Linked DNA regions of Macaca mulatta. The protein of the gene in region 1 purifies or fractionates together with the protein of each later gene. This does not show direct contact. Links are inferred from orthologs where the notes say so. Each region holds a gene or a part of one and is shown in the gene's direction. Other genes may lie near its edges.

Region 1 (3,500 bases):
CTTTAAAAAATACTGTATACCGGCCGGGCGCGGTGGCTCAAGCCTGTAATCCCAGCACTTTGGGAGGCCGAGACAGGTGGATCACGAGGTCAGGAGATTGAGACCATCCTGGCTAACACGGTGAAACCCCGTCTCTACTAAAAATATAACAAATTAGCCGGGCGAGGTGGCGGCGCCTGTAGTCCCAGCTACTCTGGAGGCTGAGGCAGGAGAATGGCGTAAACCCGGGAGGCGGAGCTTGCAGTGAGCTGAGATCGCGCCACCGCACTCCAGCCTGGGCGACAGAGCGAGACTCCGTCTCAAAAAAAAAAAAAAAAAAAAAAATACTGTGTACACTTTTTAGAGAGCTGAGCGCAGTGAGACTTTGGGAAGCCAAGGTGGGAGGATCACTTGAGACCAGGAGTTAAAGACCAGACTGACTGGGCACGATGGTTCATGCCTGTAATCCCAGCACTTTGGGAAGCCGAGGCGGGCAGATTACGAGGTCAAGAGATGGAGACCATCCTAGCCAACATGGTGAAACCCCGTCTCAACTAAAAATACAAAAATTAGCTGGGCTTGGTGGCGGCGCCTGTAGTCTCAGCTACTCAGGAGGCTGAGGCAGGAGAATCGCTTGAACCTGGGAGGCAGAGGTTGCAGTGAGCAGAGATCGCGCCATTGCACTCCAGCCTGCCGACAGGTGAGACTCCGTAAATAAATACATATGTACATACATATATACACACCAGACTGGGCAACATAGCAAGACCTCATCTCTGTTGTAAAAAAAAAAAAATGGAAAGAGGCCAGATGCAGTGGCTTATGTCCATAATCCCAGCACTTTGGGAGGCCAGGCAGGTAGATCACCTGAGGTTAGGAGTTCGAGACCAGCATGGCCAATGTGGTGAAGCCCCGTGTCTGCTAAAACTACAAAAATTAGCTGGGCATGGTGGCTCATGCCTGTAATTCCAGCTACTTGGGAGGCTGAGACAGGAGAATCGCTTGAACCTAGGAGGTGGAGGTTGCAGTGAGCTGCTATCGTGCCACTTTAGTATGGGTGACAAGAGCAAGACTGTGTCTCAAAAAAAAATAAAATACCATATACACTTTTTAGAATTTTTGTTAAAGTTGTGTAAGCTTCTGTGGCAAAGAGAGTGTTTGTTTTGAACTTTAGTAAGGTGTCATGTATTCAGGACAGTTTTCTCTATAACATTTGCATTTTTTGATATGCAATAAGGTTAAACACTCACAGGTGCTCTGTTCATAATAGGCAATGATTTCCAAGATTGTTTCCTGAACTTTTTGTTCCGGTTTTGGGACGCCACCAAGTGATAAGTTTGGGTATTACATTTGAATGAAAAGGTTAATTTTTTTTGAGAGAGAGTCCTGTTCTGTCACCCAGGCTCACTGCAACCTCTGCCTCCCGGGTTCAAGCAATTCTCTTGCATCAGCCTCCCGAGTAGCTGGGATGAGAGGCGCCCACCACCACGCCTGGCTAATTTTTTTTGTATTTTTAGTAGAGACAGAGTTTTGTCATGTTGGCCAGGTTGGTCTTGAACTCCTGACCTCAGGTGATCTATCTGCCTCCACCTCCCAAAGTGCTGGGACTACAAGCGTGAGCCACCGTGCCTGGCCAAAAGTTAATTTTTAATGAGAAGGCCAATAGGTATTTCCTAACTAGTTCCCCTTCCCTGGGAACAGAACACAGTGTTACTCTGGAATTTTATTTGGAAAATATTATAATTTATTTATGTGGCTTGATCAGGATGTATCCAAGACAAACTGTCCTGTGAAGTGTGATGCTTTTATCCTCATATAACTTATTTCCTCAGTCAAATTTCTGCCTTGGCACTGCCATATCACCCCTTCATAACTCATGAATCACCCACAGTCAATCTCAGTTGACATAAACAGTTTGCTAATGGTAGGAATTCATGTTTTAAGTAGATATACTATTCTTAAGCTTATTTTCAATTCAAAACCTGACTGATATTTTGGCCTGAGACATCAATAAAATATCATGAAAGTAGAGAGGATAGAAAAACGGGGAGCTAACTCTTTATAAAACTGCATGCTGACCCTTACGGCAGCTCGAATGAAATGTTGTCACTCTCACTTCCATAAACTTGCCAATTGCTGTTTTTCTTTCTCTGTAGTGAAGTAAGAACTCTGCTAGAGAGGAAATGGCTGCTTCATCATCATCCTCTTCAGCTGGTGGGGTCAGTGGAAGTTCTGTCACTGGATCTGGTTTCAGTGTCTCAGACCTTGCCCCACCACGGAAAGCCCTTTTCACCTACCCCAAAGGAGCTGGAGAGATGTTAGAAGGTGATCTCATGCTGCTTTCTGAATAATTGGATTCAGACCTGCAATGAATATTAATTGTGAAGAAGCTATTAAGTGGATTAAAGATGAGTTTGCCCTGATTTCAGCTCTACATTTCATCTCTTGTCCCCATCTCAAAATAATATATTTAAAAACAGTCTTGCTCCAGAATCAGAATGTTGGAGCTGAAAAGGACTTTGGAAATCAAGGAAGTCATCTAAAGTTATTTAGATCCAGAAAAGTTAAGTGATTTGACCAGGTTAAAGGCAGAGGTAGGGCTGGGCACCGTGGCTTATCCATGTTATTCCAGCACTTTGGGAGGCCAAGGCAGGCGGATCACTTGAGGCCAGGAGTTCGAGACCAGCCTGGCCAACATGGTGAAACCCCATCTCTACTAAAAATACAAAAATTAGCCGAGCATGGTGGTAGGCGCCTGTAATCCCAGCTACTGGAAAGGCTGAGACAGGAGAATCACTTGAACAGTAGAAGTTGCCATGTGCCGAGATCATGCTACTGCACTCCAACCTGGGCAACAAAATGAGATTCTGTCTCAAAAAAACAGAGTTGGCCGGGCACAGTGGCTCACGCCTGTAATCCCAGCACTTTGGGAGGCCGAGGCGGGCGGATCACGAGGTCAGGAGATCAAGACCATCCTGGCTAACATGGTGAAACCCCGTCTCTACTAAAAAATACGAAAAAAAAATTAGCTGGGCGTGGTGGCGGGCGCCTGTAGTCCCAGCTACTCGGGAGGCTGAGGCAGGAAAATGGCGTGAACCCGGAAGGCAGAGCATGCAGTGAGTCAAGACCGAGCCACTGCACTCCAGCCTGGGTGACAGAGCGAGACTCTGTCTCAAAAAAAAAAAAAAAAAAAAAAAAAAACCAGAGTCAGCACTGAGTCCAGGAATTCTCTTGACCTCCTACTCCAGTTTGCTTTATCCTGGCACCTGTCTACCTCCCATGGTAGTAGGTTTGATGTGTCTTTTTATAGTATGATTAATCTACAGATAGATTCACCCTGTCAGAAAGGTTCTAAGAGGGAATAAAAGCTAATACAGTGCCCTTTTATGTGAACATGACTCCTGACCCACTGCAGCATGATGCTGTGTGGTTTTTCTAGCACCAGAGCCAGATTTGCATCAAATCATTCACCATCTTGTTCAGCATCATTGGCTAACTGACTAGCCAAGATCAGGGTACAG
Region 2 (3,500 bases), on another chromosome or scaffold:
TTTCTGAACAGTATAGGGAGAGAATATCTCAGTACATTTGGCCTAGGATACATAAAGGACCATTTTTCAGCATTGTTGCATCTATGTATATATAGAAGGGCTTCAACCTTTACTGTAAAGTATGATGTAAAGTATGATGGGTTTTAACTCTTCAACCTCATCTCCTACTTTGAGAAAAATGAGACCTAGTTATTTTCAGCTTTAAAGCAAACACAGAAATCTGCATTTTTCTGTGATTTGTTATATTTAAAATTAGTGTTCTTGTAGTTTATTTTCTAAATTTACAGCTTTGTCTTACTGGTACACTTTTATGATACATTGATAGATGGGCTTTTAGGGGGTAAATTTGATTAGCAGAAGTGGACAGGAGAATTTAAAATTTTGGATAAGGCCTATTTCCTGTTTCCACTAACTTATGCATACTTGAAAAAAATGTAATCCTCACTTCCTCGGAGACAAACTTTTTTTTTTTTTTTGTCTTCACAGGTGAAAAGCCAGATCCTGACCAAACATTTAAATTCACATCTTTACAGAACTTTAGCAACTGTCTGCCCAACTCTTGCACAACACAAGTACCTAATCATAGTTTATCTCACAGACAGCCTGAGACAGTTCTTACGGAAACACCCCAGGACACAATTGTAAGTGTCTTATATTCTAGTGTTCAAAATATTATGAAACTACAAAGAATGATCTGAACTAAATAATATATTGTGAATGACTTGGTAGAAATTTTCTGTTTCAGGAATTAAACAGATTGAATTTAGAATCTTCCAATTCAAAGTACTCCTTGAATACAGATTCCTCAGTGTCTTATATTGATTCAGCTGTAATTTCACCTGATACTGTCCCACTGGGAACAGGAACTTCCATATTATCTAAACAGGTTCAAAATAAACCAAAAACTGGTCGAAGTTTATTAGGAGGACCAGCAGCTCTTAGCCCATTAACCCCAAGGTAAGTCAAACAAGATACTTTCAAATGTGCTATAGTACTAAATGATCTTATAATAACTCATATTGTTTGTAATGCAGATTATTACAATGGCAACTTCTAAATCAGTATGGGAACAGGGGCATTCTGTTTTCAGAAAATGAAGTAAAAAACAGCACATGATGATGTTGACAGGCGCGGTGGCTCACGCCTGTAATCCCAGCACTTTGGGAGGCCAAGGCAGGCAGATCACCTGAGGTCAGGAGTTCGAGACCAGCCTGGCCAACATGGTGAAACCCTGTCTCTACTAAAAATATAAAAATTAGCTGGGCGTGGTGGTGGGCGCCTGTAATCCCAGCTACTCGGGAGGCTGAGACAGGAGAATTGCTTGAACCCAGGAGGCGGAGGTTGCAGTGAGCCGAGATGGAGCCACTACACTCCAGCCTGGGTAACAGAGCAAGACTCTGACTCAAAAAAAATTGATACTAAGTATTGGATTGGCCGGGCGCGGTGGCTCACACCTGTAATCCCAGCACTTTGGGAGACCGAGGTGGGCGGATCACGAGGTCAGGAGATCAAGACCATCCTGGCCAACATGGCGAAACCCCATCTCTACTAAAAATACAAAAAATTAGTTGGGCATGGTGGCATGCTTCTATAGATCCAGCTACTCGGGAGGCTGAGGCAAGAGAATCACTTGAACCCAGGAGGCAGAGGTTGCAGTGAGCTGAGATGGCGCCACTGCACTCCAGCCTAGGAGACAGGACAAGGCTCCGTCTCAAAAAAAAAATTGGAGAAAAATGTAAAACTCTTAAATTAGGTAGTAAACACATTAAGAAATACTATCTATGGCTGTGCATTATTGGATAGCAGTGAGCCTCATGAAATGTTACAATCAGAGCACCATTGGTTGCTATTAAAATGTTCTTTTCCAAAACATGATGGAAATTTGACACCTACCGTTTTTTGTTTGAGACAGCATCTCACTCTGTCACCCAGGTTAGAGTGCAATGGCACAATCATAGCTCACTGCAGCCTCAAATTCCTGGGCTCAAGCGATCCTCCCGCCTCAGACTCCTGAGTAGCTAGGACTGCAGGCACATGCCAACACACCTGGCTAATTTTTTAAGTTTTTTTGTAGAGATGGGGTCTTGCTGTGTTGCTCAAGCTGATCTGGAACTCCTGACCTCTAGTGATCCTCCTGCCATGGCCTCCCAAAGTGCTAGGATTACAATGAGCCACTGAACCTAGCTGTCACACCTATTAATATAAAATATTTTATCGGCCGGGCGCGGTGGCTCAAGCCTGTAATCCCAGCACTTTGGGAGGCCGAGGCGGGTGGATCACGAGGTCAGGAGATCGAGACTATCCTGGCTAACATGGTGAAACCCCGTCTCTACTAAAAATACAAAAAACTAGCCGGGCGTGGTGGCGGGCGCCTGTAGTCTCAGCTACTTGGGAGGCTGAGGCGGGAGAATGGCGTGAACCCGGGAGGCGGAGCTTGCAGTGAGCCGAGATCACGCCACTGCACTCCAGCCTGGGAGACACAGGGAGACTCCGCCTCAAAAAAAAAAAAAAAATATTTTATCAAAATTAATAGTAGTATATGTATGTATAAATACAGGAACTCAGCCCAGAGGATACATATCCAAAAGTATCAAAATGAAAAATGATGTGCTAGAACGGGTTGGGCTTGGTGGCTCATGCCTGTAATCCCAGCACTTTGGGAGGCTGAGGTGAGCAGATCACTTGAGACCAGGAGCTCAAGACCAGTCTGGCCCACATGGTAAAACCCTATCTCTACTAAAATTACAAAAATTAGCCAGGTATGGTGACAGATACGTGTAATCCCAGGTAGTTGGGAGGCTGAGGCACAAGAATCGTTTGAACCCAGCAGATGGAGGTTACAGTGAGCTGAGATCATGCCACTGCACTCCAGCCTGGGCAACAGAGCAAGACTCTGTCTCAAAAAAAAAAAAAAAAAAATATATATATATATATATACACTAGAAGAAATTCTATGAATCGGGTCCTGAGGCCAGGGAACTACTAAAATAGTGTGACCATGAGATTACCACTCTGGAGAGTTATAGTTATCTAATGGTCTCTAGAGACATTTTCTCTAGTTGTGTCTAAATCCCATAAATTCCAAGAATTTGAAGTAATCTGATCATTTGGATCTTAGATTTATAAAGCTACTCTTCTTTATTTCTAATAAATCTCCTGAGATCAGTAATTGTTGCTCACTGTAGTTCCTTGTTTGATAGCTTTTTTTAGTTTTAGTTATGGTGGGTGGAATAGTCTATATTCACAGCTTATTTTTAATCTGCCCCTCAGATCCTCACTGTCCCTAAGACTGATTTGCCATTCTCTTCCTTTTAGACCTTCTAATTTAAGTATACTGCTGCTTTATATATGCCTTGATGACTTTTTGACACCTTGATTTCAACCTCTTCTCAGTTTTGGGATTTTGCCATTAGAAACCCCAAGTCCTGGAGATGGATCCTATTTACAAAACTACACTAATACACCTTCTGTAATTGACGTGCCATCCACCGGAGCCCCTT
Region 3 (2,969 bases), on another chromosome or scaffold:
GCTTAGGCCAAGAACTAGCCCACTGGCATGACAGCTTCATTCTGTTGGCCAAAATAACTCCCAGGGCCAATCCAAATCCAAGATTGGGGAAATCAGTTTCACCTTTTGATAAGAGTAGCTGCAAAGAACTAAGGGCATTTTACAGTACACCATAATGGATGGCTGGGTTTATGACACTTTTGTTTTTGTTTTCCAGGCATATATGCGATTTGATGTGTTGGCATGTATTGAACGGGACGATAGATACCAAACAAAAGACACATTATTTTAGAAAGCATACCACAGATAGGATGAAATTAAGCAAAGTTGTCTGCTTCTGAATTAAATAATTCATTAACTAAGGATACTATTTATTCTTTGTCATCTATAAGTAATTATTAGGACTGATTGCTTTACAATAAATGATAGCTCTTTTCAATCTGTTCAAGTATGTTTGAATCTGTCTTGTAGAACAAGATGTATGTGATTCAAATATAGATAAGTAAATATCATTTAATATATATTGAGCATAATTTTAGAGGGGAAAACATATTCACATACTACAAATTAGAATCCAGTGGAAAATTTTAAGTCTGGATATTGCATAACAGTTTGCTAAGCGTAAAACAAAACATAAATTAAGATAATCGAAAAGAAATATGTTGGTATCTGTGAACTCTGGTACAAAGCAGAGTTTCAGTAGTAATACATTTAAATTTGAAATACAAGTAAATGATCCCAGATCCTATACTAAGTGTGGCCCATGACTTACCGTTTTATGAAAATTGCTGGTAGGGTGTGAATTGGTCATTTGTTGGGGTTTTTGTTGCCCTGCTCCACCACTAGGGGGAGGTATCATCTACTAGTTACATTTTCAGTGTTTCCTGCCCTACCTCCATTTTTATTATAATATAGACATGTTGGGCCAGGCGCAGTGGCTTGCGCCTGTAATCCCAGCACTTTGGGAGGCCGAGGCGGGTGGATCACCTGAAGTCAAGAGTTCGAGAGCAGCCTGACCAACATGGAGAAACCCCATCTCTACTAAAAAAAAAAAAAAAAATAACAAAATTAGCTGGGAGTGGTGGTGCATGCCTGTAATCCCAGCTACTTGGGAGGCTGAGGCAGGAGAATCACGTGAACCCAGGAGACAGAGGTTGTGGTGAGCCGAGATCACGCCATTGCACTCCAGCCTGGGCAACAAAAGCGAAACTCCATCTCAAAAAAAAAAAAAAAAAAAAAAAAGACATGTTTGGTCCAAGGTCATTTTTTGGATACATTTCTTGTGTCTAAGGAATATGCCAGCAAACTAGTATTCTTTTAAAGCACGCTCCCCCAAAAGAAGATTTAGGATTGGCTCATCTCAGTGTTCCTAACCGCTAATAATAATAGCAAATATTCCTTGAGCACCAGATACCCCACACAGTGCTCAGCACTTGATCTAACCTCACCTGATCCTTACAGTAGTCTTGTGAGGTGATGGCTCTTTTTTTCTCCCATTTGCCAAGGAGGAAACAAAGGCCCCAAGGGTTTGCATACCTTGCCCAAGTAACCCAGCAAATGGGAGAGTTGTGGTCTTGGATCCTAGTTGGCTTCCAAAAGCCTCTGCCCTTAACCCTTCTGCCACGGTGCCTCCTTCACAAATGTCAGAGTCAAAATGCCCATCACTCCCTATTGAAGAAGGCCCAGGCCATGTTTGAGTGATACTTCTGATCGTTTCCTCACGTGTATGATTTTAGCTTTTTTAGAATACACATATCAGTTATGTTGCCTGTTCCTAGGAACTCACAAGCTTTAATTCTAAGTGTTCTTGAGTTCCAAGAAAATACAGAATATATTACTGTTCTGAATTTCTATTGTACCTTTTCAGAATGAGCTTCCTGAACCTGAACAAGACAATGGTGGCACCACAGAATCTGTCAAAGAACAAGAAATGAAGTGGACAGACTTAGCCTTACAGTACCTCCATGAGAATGTTCCCCCCATTGGAAACTGACACTTGGCTCCTTTCTTGTATATGGATTTTCTAAAAGCACACAGATAAAGCATGTTTTGTTTCAGTCTCCTAAATCAAATCTTTGAGTAATAAATCAGCACTCAAAAATGTATACCCGTTTAGTTTGTGGTAGCAAAGTGCGATGTGAAAATGTTCACCAGAATGAGAAACTGAGATTTCTCAGTAATGGTGAATATTTGGCTCTTTAAACCTAAAACTCTTCATTGAGTAGCTTGTATTTGAACAAGACTGGTTAAACATTTGCCTTTACTTCTGATTTTGCTTTACTGTCAAAGTTTAACACCTTCCAACTACTCATGTGTGTCCTGTAACACAGGGGATTGAACGTATGAGAGGGAAAGGCAAAGGAAAAAGGAAGCCAGATACTGGGAGAATTACTAACTTCTCATACTTCCCCACATTGAGAAGCATTCGGAGTGTATTTAGCCTGTAGGTGTTGTGATATGCAAATATTCCATTCCCTGGTTACTGGCATTCCTAAGATTCTTCATGGTATTTTCAAACTTTGGATAAATTTACAGATTAGAAAGATACCTGACAGTTACCTCTGTTCTCCCTACAACTTCCTTTTGTGCTGCTGGAAAGGATCTTTGGCTAGGTGGACCATTAGTTTTATTCAGTAGTGGCATTTCCTATTTTCTCAAAGCCCTTTCAGTTATAACCACCCCACTATGGAATCAGTATTTAGTTACACATTTGTATAAGAACCTGTATTTTGAAAAACACATTTGTGTATATTTCCTGGAATTATTTGCCTGTTAAACAGTGTCTTTCGTGTGCTCTCCCCAGATTGTAAACGCTGTAAGAAGCAGCCCTGGCTGCCTGTATCTGTATCCCTTGTTGAAACTCTGAAAACACTGAATAACTAAAATCTCTTCTCATCCTTTTTATGCTGGGTCTTTTTGTTTACTTAGCTTTTAGGAGGAAGAGGTACGTGAAAAAACAAATTAGCTTATTTTAGATTTTCAATCACAAA
Region 4 (3,500 bases), on another chromosome or scaffold:
TTCCTACTCCAAAAATAGTTACTGAGACAAAAAACAAAGCTCCATAAAATGGTGAAATGGAAAACAACCTCAGTTTGCCAATCAGTAATTTTAAAGTTATGTTAATTAATACATATATTAATTTCCATTTCATGATTTATATCATCTGAACTTTTTTTTTGTCTCGGTAAACTTTTTTTTTGTCTCCATATTCTTAGAATATGGAAAGTGCTAAGTTGAGCCTTCTGTTCTAATGCTGGACAGGTTTTTTTCTTTGTCCATGGTCCTGATAGTTTCCTTGTTTCATAAAAATAATTCTGCCTTAGTCTGTGTAGTCAAGTAATACACCAGGGTTACAGTGAAGAAGGCCGGAGGAATTAGTGCTTTTGGCTAATGCTGAAAACAAAAATTGTTTTTCTTGTTTGGGGCAATATGGTAATTTTCTTTGTATTAACTTTTCCTTTCTAATTAAGTTATACTAAGTTAGTATCAAATGAATTTGTAAATCCTGAATATTAATTGCCAGCTTTCCTAAGGGAAGCCTGAAAGAATTGGATAACAAGGGTTTGACCTGGGGTTTGAAATTCACTGCGGATAAACCAGAGTGACAAATCCATCATCAGATCATGAAGGATTACAAATGGTTATGTGACTCTGTAGAAGGTTAGAGGGTCAGAGCATACCATGGAAGTCCTATTCCAGCCCAGTTATCTGCTATGTGTATTCCCAACATACTTCCTACTGACAGTTTAGAAAAGTTATATGGAGATTCCAGGGTCTCTCAAGACAGCTCCTTTTTGTTAAAGTAGGAAAAAATACTTGCTAAATCACCACTTTTTTACTTGCTCACTCATTTATTTCCAACCTTATTTGGAGTTAGAATTGGGAAGGAAAAGGGGGAAAATGAGACTATTTCAAAAGGCATGGTGTAATCTCATACACCTGTTGGAGTCTTAAATCCACAAGTGTATATAAGTCATAGATTCAATAATTAAATCATACGGTAGGCCATGCACAGTGGTTCATGCCTGTAATCCTAGCACTTTGAGAGGCTGAGGCAGGAGGATTGCCTGAGACCAGGAGTTTTAGACCAGTCTGGGCAACATAGTGAGACCCCCCATGTCTACAAAAAAATAAAAAATATTAGCTGGGTGTGGTGGTTTGCACCTGTAGTCCCAGCTACTCAGGAGGCTGGGGCAGGACGATGGCTTTAGCTCAGGAGGTGGAGGCTGCAGTGAACCATGATCACATCACTGCAGTCCAGCCTGGGTGAGACCCTGTCTCATAAATAAAAGATAGGGTAATTGCAGTGTTCTTTAAAATTACTCTTAGTAGTCATATGTTTAGTGTGAGTTCTTAAATAAGAGTTAAGAAATCATAAATTCTCAGTATCTGAGTATGTATGAATGCATTTGATATGCTAAGAAAAATGTTTATTATCATTTCTCTAAAGTGTGCAGGCTGATGTTTTTTATTCCCCTAAAATAACAAAGAAATTCCTACTTTTCAATTTCTCGTTTGGGACTGTTAAACTGACTATAACTGTATAGTATTTGTGGCATCTGTTTACTTGATAATGTTGTAAAACTGGGTATCTTTTTAAAAAATTAGCATTTTTAATGGTAAGAGAAGTAAAATCTTTGGTGTTTTTATAATTTCATTTTTTCCTTTTTAGTGTTCTCACATCATTTTATAACGCTGAGGATGAATCAAATCTCCTCTTACCTAAACTACCTACACTGCCAAAAAAGTATGTATCACTGGTTTCTTTGAAATTAATCTTGCAGATTTCTCTTTCTTCTGCTTTTAACACCGACAATTTTCTCATGCATTTTAAAATACGTATTTTTGCTGAGAGTATTTTTTACCTTAATCTCTGTTTCCTTCTAGCTATAGCAACACCTCAAAAATATTTAGGTAAGATATGCCTTTTCTTGTTTTCAAGTAAGATAATCTGTTGTTATTTGAAAGATAGAATTGAAAGATGACCCAATTTATTTGTATATTTTAGTGAAGAAAATTCTGATGAAATTATTAAGCTCTTGGGAGACGTCAGGTAAGTCTTATGGATAAATAAGTCTAATTTCTTAAAGTTATTTCATATTTGAGGCAGTTTTCAGAAGCTTTAAGAGCAAATCCTTTATTTGCCATTTTATTTCATTGTTTTTTTGTTTTTGTTTTTGTTTGAGATGGAGTCTCTGTCACCCAGGCTGGAGTGCAGTGGCGCGATCTCGGCTTACTGCAACCTCCGCCTTCCTGGTTCAAGTGATTCTTCTGCTTCACCCTCCCGAGTAGCTGGGACTACAGGCGCCCGCCCCCAGGCCTTTCTAATTTTTATATTTTTAGTAGGGACAGGGTTTCACCATGTTGGCCAGGATGGTCTTGATCTCTCGAACTTGTGATCCACCTGTCTTGGCCTCCAAAAGTGCTGGGATTATAGGCGTGAGCCACTGTGCCCGGCCTAATTTTTGTATTGTTAGTAGAGGCGGGGTTTCACCATGTTGGCCAGGCTGGTCTCAGACTCCTGACCTCAGAAGATCCACCCACCTTGGCCTCCCAAAGCATTGGGATTACAGGCATGAGCCACAACACCTGGCCTCATTGTTGACATTAATACCTTCAAACGACATATAGACTTTAATATCTATTATTGTTTTTATTGTGTGGCCTTTCGTTTTATCAAGTTTTAATAATAATATGCACATATGTTAAATAAAAGGATATAAGTACTAGAGTTTCTAAAATTTAAGTATTCATGTTTTTTAAGCCCGTTTAATATATTTAGCATCATAACCATGATAAAACTGATGGCACTTCGTATTAGTTGGTAAAAGGATTGTTTTGTTATTGATGGTGCATAAATATAGTTGTTATTAAAATAACGTATTCTTATTTTACCGTAAGCTGATTTTTTTTAGGCTAGAGGAAATTTATGTTCTTTGAAAAAAGGAATAAACCTGATACGATTGAATATTGAGTGTTAGTGGATTTGATATTTCACTTCCCTCTGCAGGGGAGCTTTAGCATGTAGATTATATGAAAGCAGTAATAATTTATATCTTGGTTTAAGAATGTAATCATCTGTGTTGTTGATTCGTTCTCAGCTTGTTGCATTATTTTTAATTAGGCTTAATATTCTTGTCCTTGGAGGAAGCTCTGGATTTATTGAGCTTTATGCTTATGGAATGTTTAAAATTGCTCGAGTCACGGGGGTAAGATTTCTTTAAAATTTTCTCTTTCTAAATTGTTTCTCTTAGAATATACTAAGTACTTATGGAAAAAGAATAAAACACCAGGTTTTTTTTTCAGTCTCGGTTTTTAGAATTAAATGTTCAGAGAATGATTTTCTTACTAAGATAAAATAATTGTGATATGTCTATAAAGATTGGGAGCTATTTGTGGAATTAGTCAAGTTTGTTTGTTTGTTTGTTTCTTTAACAGAAAGATTAGTATGATACACTTGATTATGATTTAATGTTTTTCTAGTGTGAGATGTAAAAGAGCTTCAATTTGTGATTGGA
Region 5 (3,500 bases), on another chromosome or scaffold:
AATTTCTTGTGGAATAGGCAGTAGACACTGTTAAATTCAAACAGTGGAGAAGGGGCATGCAGATCAGTATCTTTCCCTGAGTCTTGAACCTCACCCCACCATTTCCTTTCTCCAGAGGCAGTAACTATTTTTTCCTGTGTCATTACAGAGGTAACTTATGCATGTGTAAGTAGACATGTATGTTATATGAGTATCAGAATGCCTTCTGTGGGTGTAATAATACTTTTGTATCCAGGCATCAGATGGTTATTTCTCACTACATACATAGAATCACAGAGTTTGAAGAGAACTTAAGTCATCTAGACTATACTTTTTTGTTGTGTTGTTTTTTTTGGGGGGGAGACTGAGTCTCGCTCTGTCACCAAGGCTGGAGTGCGGTGGCGTGATCTCGGCTCACTGCAGCTTCCGCCTCCTGGGTTCAAGCAGTTTTCCCTCAGCCTTCCAAGTAGCTGGGTTTACAGGTGCCCACCACCACGCCTGGCTGATTTTCGTATTTTTAGTAGAGACAGGGTTTCAACATGCTGGCCAGGCTGGTCAAACTCCTGACCTCGGTGATCCTCCCACCTTAGCCTCCCAAAGTGCTGGGATTACAGGCATGAGCCACCGCTCCCGGCCGTTTTTTGTTTGTTTGTTTGTTTATTTATGAGACAGAGCCTCTCTCTGTCACCCAGGCTGGAGTGCAGTGGCGGGATCTTGGCTAACTGCAAGCTCTGCCTCCCAGGTTCAAGTGATTCTCCGGCCTCAGCATCTAAGTAGCTAGGATTATAGGCGTAAGCCATAGTGCATGGCCACAATAATGCAATTCTGTGGGTTTTAGAGTATTTACAAAATTGTATGGTCATCACCATGATCTAATTCCAGAAAGTTTTCATTACCTCAACGAAAGGAAACCCTGTGGCCTGGGATTACAGGCGTAAGCCACTGCGCGCGGCCTTTTTTTTTTTTTTTCTAAAGACAGAGTTTCACTCTTGTCGCCCAGGCTGGAGTGCAGTGGCGCAATCTCGGCTCATAGCAACCTCCGCCTCCCGGGTTCAAGCGATTCTCCTATCTCAACCTCCCGAGTAGCTGGGATTACAGGCATGCGCCACCATGCCCAGCTAATTTTGTATTTTTAGTGGAGACGGTTTCACCATGTTGGTTAGGCTAGTCTTGAACTCCTGACCTCAGGTGATCCGCCTGCCTTGGCCTCCCAAAGTGCTGGGATTACAGGCGTGAGCCACTACGCCCAGCCCCCCTTTCTCCTTTTATAGTGGCATTTTCTTTAGTTTTTTTGTTTTTGTTTTGTTTTGTTTTGTTTTGTTTTGTTTTGAGATGGGGTCTCACTCGGTCGCCAGGCTGGAGTGCGAGTGCGATGGTGCAATCTCAGCTCACTGTAACTGGAATCCCAGCACTTTGGAAGACCGACGCAGGTAGATTACTTGAGGTCAGGAATTTGAGACCAGCCTGGCCAACATAGCGAAACCCTGTGTCTACTTAAAAAAAAAACAAAAATTAGCTGGGCGTGGTGGCACGTGCCTGTAATCTCAGCTACTCTGGAGGCTGAGGAAGGAGAATCGCTTGAACCTGGGAGGTGGAGGTTGCAGTGAGCTGAGATCGCGCCACTGCACTCCAGCCTGGATGATAGAGCGAGAATCCATTTCAAAAAAAAAAAAAAGTTGGGGGAGCTTGGATTGAAAGGGAGGAAAAGATGTATTACATTTTCTCTATCTCCTACTGGATTTGATTCATAGGTATCATTGCTTTAATGTTAAATAAAGGAAGATTATATTGAGCAATAGATATATTTATCATATTAGCATAGAGTTCAGCTTTCAACTTTCATGTTTCTTACTTTAGGGACTAGCACTCAGGGTACATTGACTCTTTTGTAAGCTGTCATTATACAAGGCTTTGCGCTAGGCTTATGTAGACACTTAACAGTGTTCCTTCTAAAATTTCAAAATAACCTATGTAGGGGATATACTTTCTTTGTTTTCTAGTGAGTTATTCTCCCCATCTCAGAAGTACCAGCTTTTGGTGTATCATGCAGATTCTCTCTTTCATGATAAGGAATATCGGAATGCTGTGAGTAAGTATACCATGGCTTTACAGCAGAAGAAAGCGCTAAGTAAAACTTCAAAAGTGAGACCTTCAACTGGAAATTCTGCATCTACTCCACAAAGTCAGGTAATCGAAGATAGAATTGTGATTTTTTTTTTTTTTTTTTGAGAAAGACTCCAAAAATTTAGAACAGGGCTCCCCAGGCCCCAGTGCCTGGTCTGTTAGGAACCAGGCTGCACAGCAGGAGGTGGGTGGAGGGCTAGTGAATATTACTACCTGAGCTCCGCCTCCTGTCAGATCAGCTGTAGCATTAGATTCTCACAGGAACACAAACCCTATTGTGAACTACACTTGCTAGGATCTAGGTTGTGTGTTCCTTATCATAATCTGACTAATGCCTGATGATCTGAGGTGGAATGGTTTCATCCTGAAACCACCCCCTCACTCCCCATCTGTGGAAAAATTGTCTTTCATGAAACTGGTCCCTGGTGTCAAAAAGGTTGGGGACCGCTGATTTAGATGATAGCTGATTCGTTGTAAAAGATGAGGCCAGGCACAGTGGCTCACACCTGTAATCCAAGCACTTCGAGAGGCTAACGTGGGAGGACTTGAGGTCAGGAGTTTGAGACTAGCCTCGGCAACATAGTGAGACTCCTGTCTTTACACAAGTGGGCATGGTGGCACACACCTGTAGTCCTAGCTACTGAGGAGGCCAAGGTGGGAGGATTGCTTGAGACTAGGAGTTCAAGACTGCAGTAAATTATGTTGGCATCACTGCATTGCAGGACTCCAGCCTGGCAACTGGGCTCTGCAGCCTGGGCAACAGAGCGAGACCCTGTCTCAAAAAAAGAATTACTGGGTCATATGATAACTGTGTTTAACGTTTTGAGGTACTTTCATATTGTTGGAATAATGTTTCAAAGAGATATTTTCATTGTCTTTTAGTGTCTTCCATCTGAAATTGAAGTGAAATACAAAATGGCTGAATGTTACACAATGCTAAAACAAGATAAAGATGCCATTGCTATACTTGATGGGATCCCTTCAAGACAAAGAACTCCCAAAGTAAGTTGAATGTTTGTGTGTTTTTCTCCTCAGCCCTCCTAACCTTGCTCCCTCCCTCCATGTTTTCTCATGCATTAAGGAGTCCATCTGAACATTTTACCCATGATTCTAATTCTCATTTTCTTCCTCTTCATGGAGTGGGGGACCCTGAAAATTCAGCTGTTGAAAATGATAACTGGAGAATACTACACATGCTTATTCTTTGGTTTTTTTTTTTTTTTGAGACGGAGTCTCGCTCTGTCGCCCAGGCTGGAGTGCAGTGGCCAGATCTCAGCTCACTGCAAGCTCCACCTCCCGGGTTCACGCCATTCTCCTGCCTCAGCCTCCCAAGTAGCTGGGACTACAGGCGCCCGCCACCTTGCCCGGCTAGTTTTTTGTACTTTTTAGTAGAGACG
Region 6 (4,012 bases), on another chromosome or scaffold:
AGTGATCCTTCCATCTCAGCCTCCTGAGTAGCTAGGACTACAGGTACACACTACCAGCCTAGCTAATTTTTTTACTTTTTTGTAGAGACAGGGTCTTGCTATGTTGCCAAAGCTGGTCTTGAGCCTCCTTGTGCACTCTTCTCTCTGCCTGCCCTTCAGAAGTCAACTAAGATATCATTTTCTCCAGGAAGGCTTGCCTGACATCCTTGTCCACCCCACACTCAGCCCAGACTGGATTAGGTGCCTGTGTGATGCCAGTGCCAGTATCCTCATTAGGGTTCTCGTTATATGATATCACAGTTTTCTTTATTTTCCCCACAGATTATGACTGTACCTTTTAATTCTGTAGCTGGAGCACAAGAAGTGTTTGTTTAATGAATGACGTACACACATTTAGGATCTGTTTGGACGCTGAGGATAATCCTGTGAATTGGTGAGTTGGAGTCTTCATGAGATTTAGCAAACTGATTTTAGCATTCAGGAGTGATCACAAATCTCTGACAGTTCTCACGTAGAGTAGATTAAATTCACTGGTTTGTCCACTTTCCCCTCTAACTATACTGAGATGTGATAGTTTATTCTTTTAGCTAGAGTATTTCTTTGAATGTGACTAGAACATGAGATTAAAGTGATAGTTTGCTATTTTAAATTCTTACTGAAAGAGTTTTTGATTTTACAGAGCTGTAGATCTCCATAATGTAATAAAAATGTAATAATCATATACCTAAAGACTTTAGAAGTTGGCTGGGTATAGTAGCTCTTGCCTATAATGCCAGTACTTTGGGAAAATGAGGAGGGAGGAACACTTGAGCCCAAGAGTTTGAGACCAGCCTGGGCATCAGAGAGAGATCCCATTTCTACAAAAAACACAAAAATTAGCCAGATATGGTGGTGTACACCTGTAGTCCCAGCTACTCTAGAGGCTGAGGCAGTAAGATTGCTTGAGCCCAGGAAGTTGAGGCTGTAGTGAGCTAAGGTCATGCTACTGTGCTCCAGCCTGGGCAAAGAGCAAGATCCCATCTCTTAAAAAGACTTTAGAAGTCTGTGTGAATTCAAATAAAGTTTTAATACTTCCATTCACTTTAGTACACAGGCTTGCAAACTGATTTTATGTTTTGTATCTGAGACTTTATTACCTTCAGTTTTTCCTCCTCTCTTTCATTTTTATCAGCTAATAGTTCACTGGGTTTGGCCCTTAGTGTTGACTTCAGTATGCTGAGACGAAAACCAACACGCCTAGAGCTAAAGCTTGATGACATTGAAGAGTTTGAGAGCATTCGAAAGGACCTGGAGGTATGAATACAACTTTGTGTTTTTTTGAGATGGAGTCTCGCTGTGTCACACAGGCTGGAGTATAGTGGCATGATCCTTGGCTCACTGCAACCTCTGCCTCAGCCTCCCAAGTAGCTGGGACTATAGGTACATGCCAGCATGCCCGGGTCATTTTTGTGTTTTTAGTAGAGACGGGATTTTGCCATGTTGGGGCCAGGCTGGTCTCCAACTCCTGACCTCAAGTGATCCATCCGCCTCAGCCTCCCAAAGTGCTGGGATTACACATGTGACCCACTGCACCCAGCCAGTGATTGATTGCAGAAATCATGTCTGTTTGCATCACCATTTCCTACCATCTAGCTCATGGTAGGAGCCCCATATGTATTTTTAAGTGTGGCCTTGCTACATGGTATTAGATGTCCATTAATAAGACTTAAATTATTCAGTGGTCTACAGAATAAATTCCAAATTCCCTAGCATGGCATATGAGGTCCTTTGTGAGCTGGTCCTTGCTTATCTCTCCACTTTCACTGCTGGGTTATCTTTAATCTCAATGCCTATACACAAGTGTTCCCTTTGCCAGAAAAGTCCTTTATTTTTCTTTGCCAGGCTAACTCTTACTTCTTCCAGCCCCCAGCTGGGTTAGGCTCAACCTCATCCTCCTGTGCTAACCTCTCTCATAAGCACTGTTAGTCTCTGTTGTAATTGTCTGTTTGCTTTTGTTTTCCCTCACTGGGCCATAAGCTCCTTGAAGTCAGGGATTAGTATATTTCTGTCTGCATCTGTTCCCTGCAATACCAGGCCCAAAGGAGGGCTCAATACAAGTCTATTTTCATTTGCTGTCCTAGCAGATATCTTGTACTATATGGCAGAGGACAGTACATTTTGCATGTATTTACCAACAGCTTTATTATGGATTGTATATGCTTCATATTAAGACTAATAACTTAGATTTCTTCCCCCTGCTTCATCCCAAGACACTTTAGTGTTCTCGAAGCATCATAATTTCTGCTTTTAAAAAACTCATATATTATTAAGGATGAGCTTTAAAGTATGGCTTAAACTTCAGTTGTTACAAATCTCATAAAATGCTAGCATGCCGAACTTTGACTCTACAGAGTCAGCTCACTATTGAGTTAGTCTTTTCACCAAAGGCAGTTATCTAGTGGGTTTTGCCCTGTTTTAGAGTAACTTAGGAAGCAGGGACAGTCATGCCCTAAAGTGAAACCAGTAGAAAACTGGCCTGTTTCATTTATTACCAACATGAGTTTGATTATCTACTGTGACTCTAGCTTCTGAAACAGCAGTTGCTCAAAGTGGGAACCCTTTTAAGTGATTTCATTCCACTTGGATATTCTCAGAATGATAGAGTTGTTTGCCTTTTAGAACTTGTTTTCACAAAGATATTTAGGTAGAACTTTCTAACATCACTTACTAGTAATCAGGAAGGTCATTTGCCACATAAAAGGCAATACCTTATTTTATTCACTGTAATACTTTGTGAGTGTTGGCATTTATTTTATTTTTTATTTTTATTTTTGAGACAGGGTCTTGCTCTGTCGCCCTGCTGGTGTACAGTGGCATGATCACCACTCACTGCAGCCTCTACCTGCCAGGCTCCAGTGATCCTACCACGTCCGGCCCCCTGAATAACTGGGAATACAGGCATGTGCCACTATGCCTGGCTAATTTTTAAATTTTTTGTGGGCCGGGTGTGGTGGCTCACGCCTGTAATCCCAGCACTTTGGGAGGCCGAGGCAGGCGGATCACGAGGTCAAGAGACCATCCTAGCTAACATGTTGAAACCCCATCTCTACTAAAAATACAAACATTAGCTGGGTGTGGTGGCATGCACCTGTAGTCCCAACTACTTGGGAAGCCGAGGGCAGGAGAATCGCTTGAACCTGGGAGGTGGAGGTTGCAGTGAGCCGAGATGGCGCCACTGCACTCCAGCCTGGTGACAGACCGAGACTTGGTCTGAAGAAAAAAAAAAAATTTGTGGGGACAGATGGAGTCTCACTATGTTGCCCAGGCTAGTGTCAAACTCCTGGGCTCAAGCAGTCCTCCCAAAGCAGTGGGATTTACAGGCATGAGCCACTGCGGTCAGCCCGATGCTTGGCATTTAAATGCCCACAGTCCAGCAGCAAGTGGTGAAGAATGGTGGTAATTCCAGTGATTTGAGTAGCTGAGCCATTCTATTATTATTAAGGAATTTTGGATAAAACATCATTTCACTCTCTTAGAGAAAGTTATCATCTGTTGTCCTTACAGTCAGGTAGTGGCAGTTACGGGATAAGTGTTTCTTTTTGAAAATGATCAAACTGAGACATACTTTGTGGATTCTGCAGTCACATGTGACTTAAGAACCAAACCTTTTATCTGAAAACAAAATGAAGCCACAAAACCCAGACCTTTTGATAAGATAGCATAAAACCTTCTCATGTTACTTTTAATCTCATGGGATCAGTTAGGCTATAGATTTTTGGTGGTTATTTCTTTACCAGTCAATTTATTTTTCTGTCTATTCTCTAGAATAATAAATTTGTTGAAATACCCTTTGCTCCCCCTTGTCTGCTCTTACATCTTTCCAGTTGTAGCTTCCTGTTGTACCACCACACCCCAACTCCTTACCTCGTCTCTTTGGCAGTGTTGACTTCCCTCTGTCATAGGTCATAGCCCGGATCACCCTATAATCGTCTCTTTGGCTGTTTACCTATTAGACTGTGACATCCTGGAGGGC
Region 7 (2,589 bases), on another chromosome or scaffold:
TCACAGCAGACTTTCCCGATTTTAAAAATAATCCTATTTTAAATTCTTTCTCAGTATTTGTCACCATTTCACTGTCATTCCTTTGTTGACCCTTTTGGAAGTCATCCTTGCTCCTTTCCCTCCTTCCCTTCTCCCCTCCTCTGCCATGACTGACCCATTGCTGAAGCCTTCAATCCTCATCATAGATATTTCTTGAATTTGTCCACATTTTACTACTTCTGCCTAGAACAGAATGATTATTTTGTGCCTGGACCACTGTTATAGCCTCCTAAATAGCCTCCTTGCTTTTTCTCATCTCCATTCTAATCATCTCAAGTTAACTGACAGAACAGTCTTTTAAAGAATGAACTGATCTAACACTCCTGCTTAAAGCTTTTCAAAGACTCCTGATTCAGCTATGAAAGAAATCCCTACTGTGTGGCACCAGGACCTGTGTGACCTGCAAGGCACCTGTTTTCCTCAACAAAGCCTCTTTTACACCACTTGCTCCTCACACCACGCTGGCCTCTTCTACCTCCTCAAAAACACTGAGCTCCTTTTCACTGTGGGGCCATTGAATATGCTGTTTTCCCTCCCTAGAAGCTTTTCCTCTCATTCTTCACCTGTCCAACTCATATTTATCCTTGCAGCCTCAGTTTTAATGACCTTGCCTCCCAGGCCTTCCAAGACCACTGTACCTCAGGCAGCTTTCCTGCCATCTATTGCCTGCCCGCTCATGCTCTCAACTTTTTTTCTGCATCTAAATGCCTTTGTTTGCAAGTAACAGAAGACCTGACGTAAGCTGTCCTTAAACAGTGAGGACACAAATCTGCTTATGTTATTAGAAGTCCACAGGTAGGGCATGTAAAGGGTCATCTTATTCCATTGTCTTCAACTCCGTTTCTCTGAGGTTCCATCAGCTACATTCTGTGCCATGACTTTATCCTCAGTGCTTTTTTTGGATGGTAATAAAATGGCTATAACATGTTCACCTCTAGCTCAGCATGATGCCCAGAGGAAGAAGAAGAGTTGCTTCTAGGAGCTTTGTGATGAGAATGAGGGGATTTCTTTCCCTGGAGCCTCCAGCAAGCATGTCATTAAGTACCTCCTCAGGTTTCTGGCTCTGAGTTGCATCTCATGCACACCCTCAATCTGTCCCTGTGGCAGAGACTGTCTCTTATTGAAAAAATGGCCTGGGTCTGCCTGTCTCTGAACTAACACTGTATCAGGGGAATGGGATTGCCTTGATCACCCAAGACCGGTGATTCTCAAAGTGTGGTTCGTGGAGCAGCATGACCTGGGAACTTGTTAGAAATGGAGTTTTTCTGGCCCTACCGCAGACCTACTGAATCAGAAACTCTGTGCTCTGTGCTCTCTGCTCTGTGTGGGGAGTGGGGCCCACTCATCTGTGATTTAACAAGCCCTCCAGGGGATTGTGATACATGGGAAAGCTTGAGAACCGCTGGCCAAGACTAATAAGGATCTAGTTCTGGAGCTGAAGTCTGTCCCATCAAATATTCTAATACATGGTGGAGGGTGGGGTGTGAAGGGGTATTTTGGGGAGACAACCACAGTGACCACTGCACCTTTATAGCACTCTCACAGTTCATAATTATGCATTTGTTTGTGTCATTATTTGTGTAATATCTGTCTTCCCCAACAACACTCTAAACTCTACAATGACAGGGACTCAGTCTAGCTTGTCACCGTAGCCTCAGTACTCAGTACCAGCTGTAGAACCTGCTTATAAGTTCTTGATGAAAAAGTAATAGAAAGAAGATATTTCTTGTGCCTCTCAGTTCTGTCATCAGTTGGTTCAGTTCTATTTGTTTCTCTCACAGCCGGGGGTGATATGTGTGTGCACGCCTACCTCAGCGGGCAGCCCTTGGAGGAATCGCAGCTGAGCATGCTGGCCTGCTTCCTCGTCTACCACTCTGTGCCAGCTCCACGGCACCTGCCGCCTATAGGACTAGAAGGTAATTGCATATCTGAGTCCTCTCTTCGGTACCTCTGTTACCTACCCCTTTATGTTCTAGTTTCTTGGTAGGAAGAGTTTCTAATTAGTTATTGTCCCTAGTTTGACTTTCCTCTTCATTAATGTTGCAGTATCATTGCTAGGAACTGTTTTGGAGCAAAAAAGAAAAAAATTATCAACTTTTTACATGAATAACTTTCATTTTTATTCAGAAAAGGATGGATTCTTCTTCACAGAGCCCCAAACACTGGTCTAAAAATTTTTTTTAGTATATACTAAAATATATACAAAAAACATTTTTTTTGAGAAAGGCAGAGATTGTTCCATTTAATCATTTAAACTTGAAGTTTAATTACATTACTAGTTTTTTTGCTGTTTTGAAAGCCTCTGATAAAAGTTTACTATCTAGGGACTTCTAGTTATGGCCATGATGGAATTGCTTGTATTGGACTCACTTGCCCTCCAAAACAAGTATAAAAGCTAAAAAACCAAAAAACAAAAAACAAAAAACAAAAACATAAGAAAAGGGAAGTACAACAGGGAGAGCTTTCTGTTCACTCTAGCTTCTCCCCCAAAGGCATTTGCCAGTTCATAGCACAAGAAGTAGAGTCCCAGCAAAAGGCAGCAGTGCTGCA

What was found.
Region 2: the proteins of ANAPC16 (region 1) and CDC27 purify together in Homo sapiens (affinity purification with mass spectrometry; 10 studies listed by BioGRID and IntAct, with this or other methods). This does not show direct contact. The link is inferred for Macaca mulatta from reciprocal best matches to the Homo sapiens genes ANAPC16 and CDC27.
Region 3: the proteins of ANAPC16 (region 1) and ANAPC13 purify together in Homo sapiens (affinity purification with mass spectrometry; 3 studies listed by BioGRID and IntAct, counting the BioPlex papers as one, with this or other methods). This does not show direct contact. The link is inferred for Macaca mulatta from reciprocal best matches to the Homo sapiens genes ANAPC16 and ANAPC13.
Region 4: the proteins of ANAPC16 (region 1) and ANAPC4 purify together in Homo sapiens (co-immunoprecipitation; 10 studies listed by BioGRID and IntAct, with this or other methods). This does not show direct contact. The link is inferred for Macaca mulatta from reciprocal best matches to the Homo sapiens genes ANAPC16 and ANAPC4.
Region 5: the proteins of ANAPC16 (region 1) and ANAPC7 purify together in Homo sapiens (affinity purification with mass spectrometry; 6 studies listed by BioGRID and IntAct, with this or other methods). This does not show direct contact. The link is inferred for Macaca mulatta from reciprocal best matches to the Homo sapiens genes ANAPC16 and ANAPC7.
Region 6: the proteins of ANAPC16 (region 1) and CDC26 purify together in Homo sapiens (co-immunoprecipitation; 5 studies listed by BioGRID and IntAct, with this or other methods). This does not show direct contact. The link is inferred for Macaca mulatta from reciprocal best matches to the Homo sapiens genes ANAPC16 and CDC26.
Region 7: the proteins of ANAPC16 (region 1) and ANAPC1 purify together in Homo sapiens (co-immunoprecipitation; 5 studies listed by BioGRID and IntAct, with this or other methods). This does not show direct contact. The link is inferred for Macaca mulatta from reciprocal best matches to the Homo sapiens genes ANAPC16 and ANAPC1.

The regions. Positions count from the first base shown.
Region 1 is NC_133414.1:77,394,571-77,398,070, reverse strand, and holds part of ANAPC16 (anaphase-promoting complex subunit 16), read left to right. Parts: intron 1-2,135; 5' UTR 2,136-2,162; coding exon 2,163-2,304; intron 2,305-3,500. UniProt on the Homo sapiens protein: Component of the anaphase promoting complex/cyclosome (APC/C), a cell cycle-regulated E3 ubiquitin ligase that controls progression through mitosis and the G1 phase of the cell cycle.
Region 2 is NC_133421.1:71,440,333-71,443,832, reverse strand, and holds part of CDC27 (cell division cycle protein 27 homolog), read left to right. Parts: intron 1-486; coding exon 487-641; intron 642-745; coding exon 746-957; intron 958-3,393; coding exon 3,394-3,500. UniProt on the Homo sapiens protein: Component of the anaphase promoting complex/cyclosome (APC/C), a cell cycle-regulated E3 ubiquitin ligase that controls progression through mitosis and the G1 phase of the cell cycle.
Region 3 is NC_133407.1:37,520,592-37,523,560, reverse strand, and holds the end of ANAPC13 (anaphase-promoting complex subunit 13), read left to right. Parts: intron 1-1,846; coding exon 1,847-1,972; 3' UTR 1,973-2,469; downstream 2,470-2,969. UniProt on the Homo sapiens protein: Component of the anaphase promoting complex/cyclosome (APC/C), a cell cycle-regulated E3 ubiquitin ligase that controls progression through mitosis and the G1 phase of the cell cycle.
Region 4 is NC_133410.1:24,405,668-24,409,167, forward strand, and holds part of ANAPC4 (anaphase-promoting complex subunit 4), read left to right. Parts: intron 1-1,654; coding exon 1,655-1,729; intron 1,730-1,869; coding exon 1,870-1,896; intron 1,897-1,990; coding exon 1,991-2,035; intron 2,036-3,106; coding exon 3,107-3,191; intron 3,192-3,500. UniProt on the Homo sapiens protein: Component of the anaphase promoting complex/cyclosome (APC/C), a cell cycle-regulated E3 ubiquitin ligase that controls progression through mitosis and the G1 phase of the cell cycle.
Region 5 is NC_133416.1:117,564,621-117,568,120, reverse strand, and holds part of ANAPC7 (anaphase-promoting complex subunit 7), read left to right. Parts: intron 1-1,979; coding exon 1,980-2,166; intron 2,167-2,985; coding exon 2,986-3,105; intron 3,106-3,500. UniProt on the Homo sapiens protein: Component of the anaphase promoting complex/cyclosome (APC/C), a cell cycle-regulated E3 ubiquitin ligase that controls progression through mitosis and the G1 phase of the cell cycle.
Region 6 is NC_133420.1:45,041,357-45,045,368, forward strand, and holds the start of CDC26 (anaphase-promoting complex subunit CDC26), read left to right. Parts: upstream 1-1,212; coding exon 1,213-1,293; intron 1,294-4,012. UniProt on the Homo sapiens protein: Component of the anaphase promoting complex/cyclosome (APC/C), a cell cycle-regulated E3 ubiquitin ligase that controls progression through mitosis and the G1 phase of the cell cycle.
Region 7 is NC_133418.1:21,897,104-21,899,692, reverse strand, and holds part of ANAPC1 (anaphase-promoting complex subunit 1), read left to right. Parts: intron 1-1,820; coding exon 1,821-1,955; intron 1,956-2,589. UniProt on the Homo sapiens protein: Component of the anaphase promoting complex/cyclosome (APC/C), a cell cycle-regulated E3 ubiquitin ligase that controls progression through mitosis and the G1 phase of the cell cycle.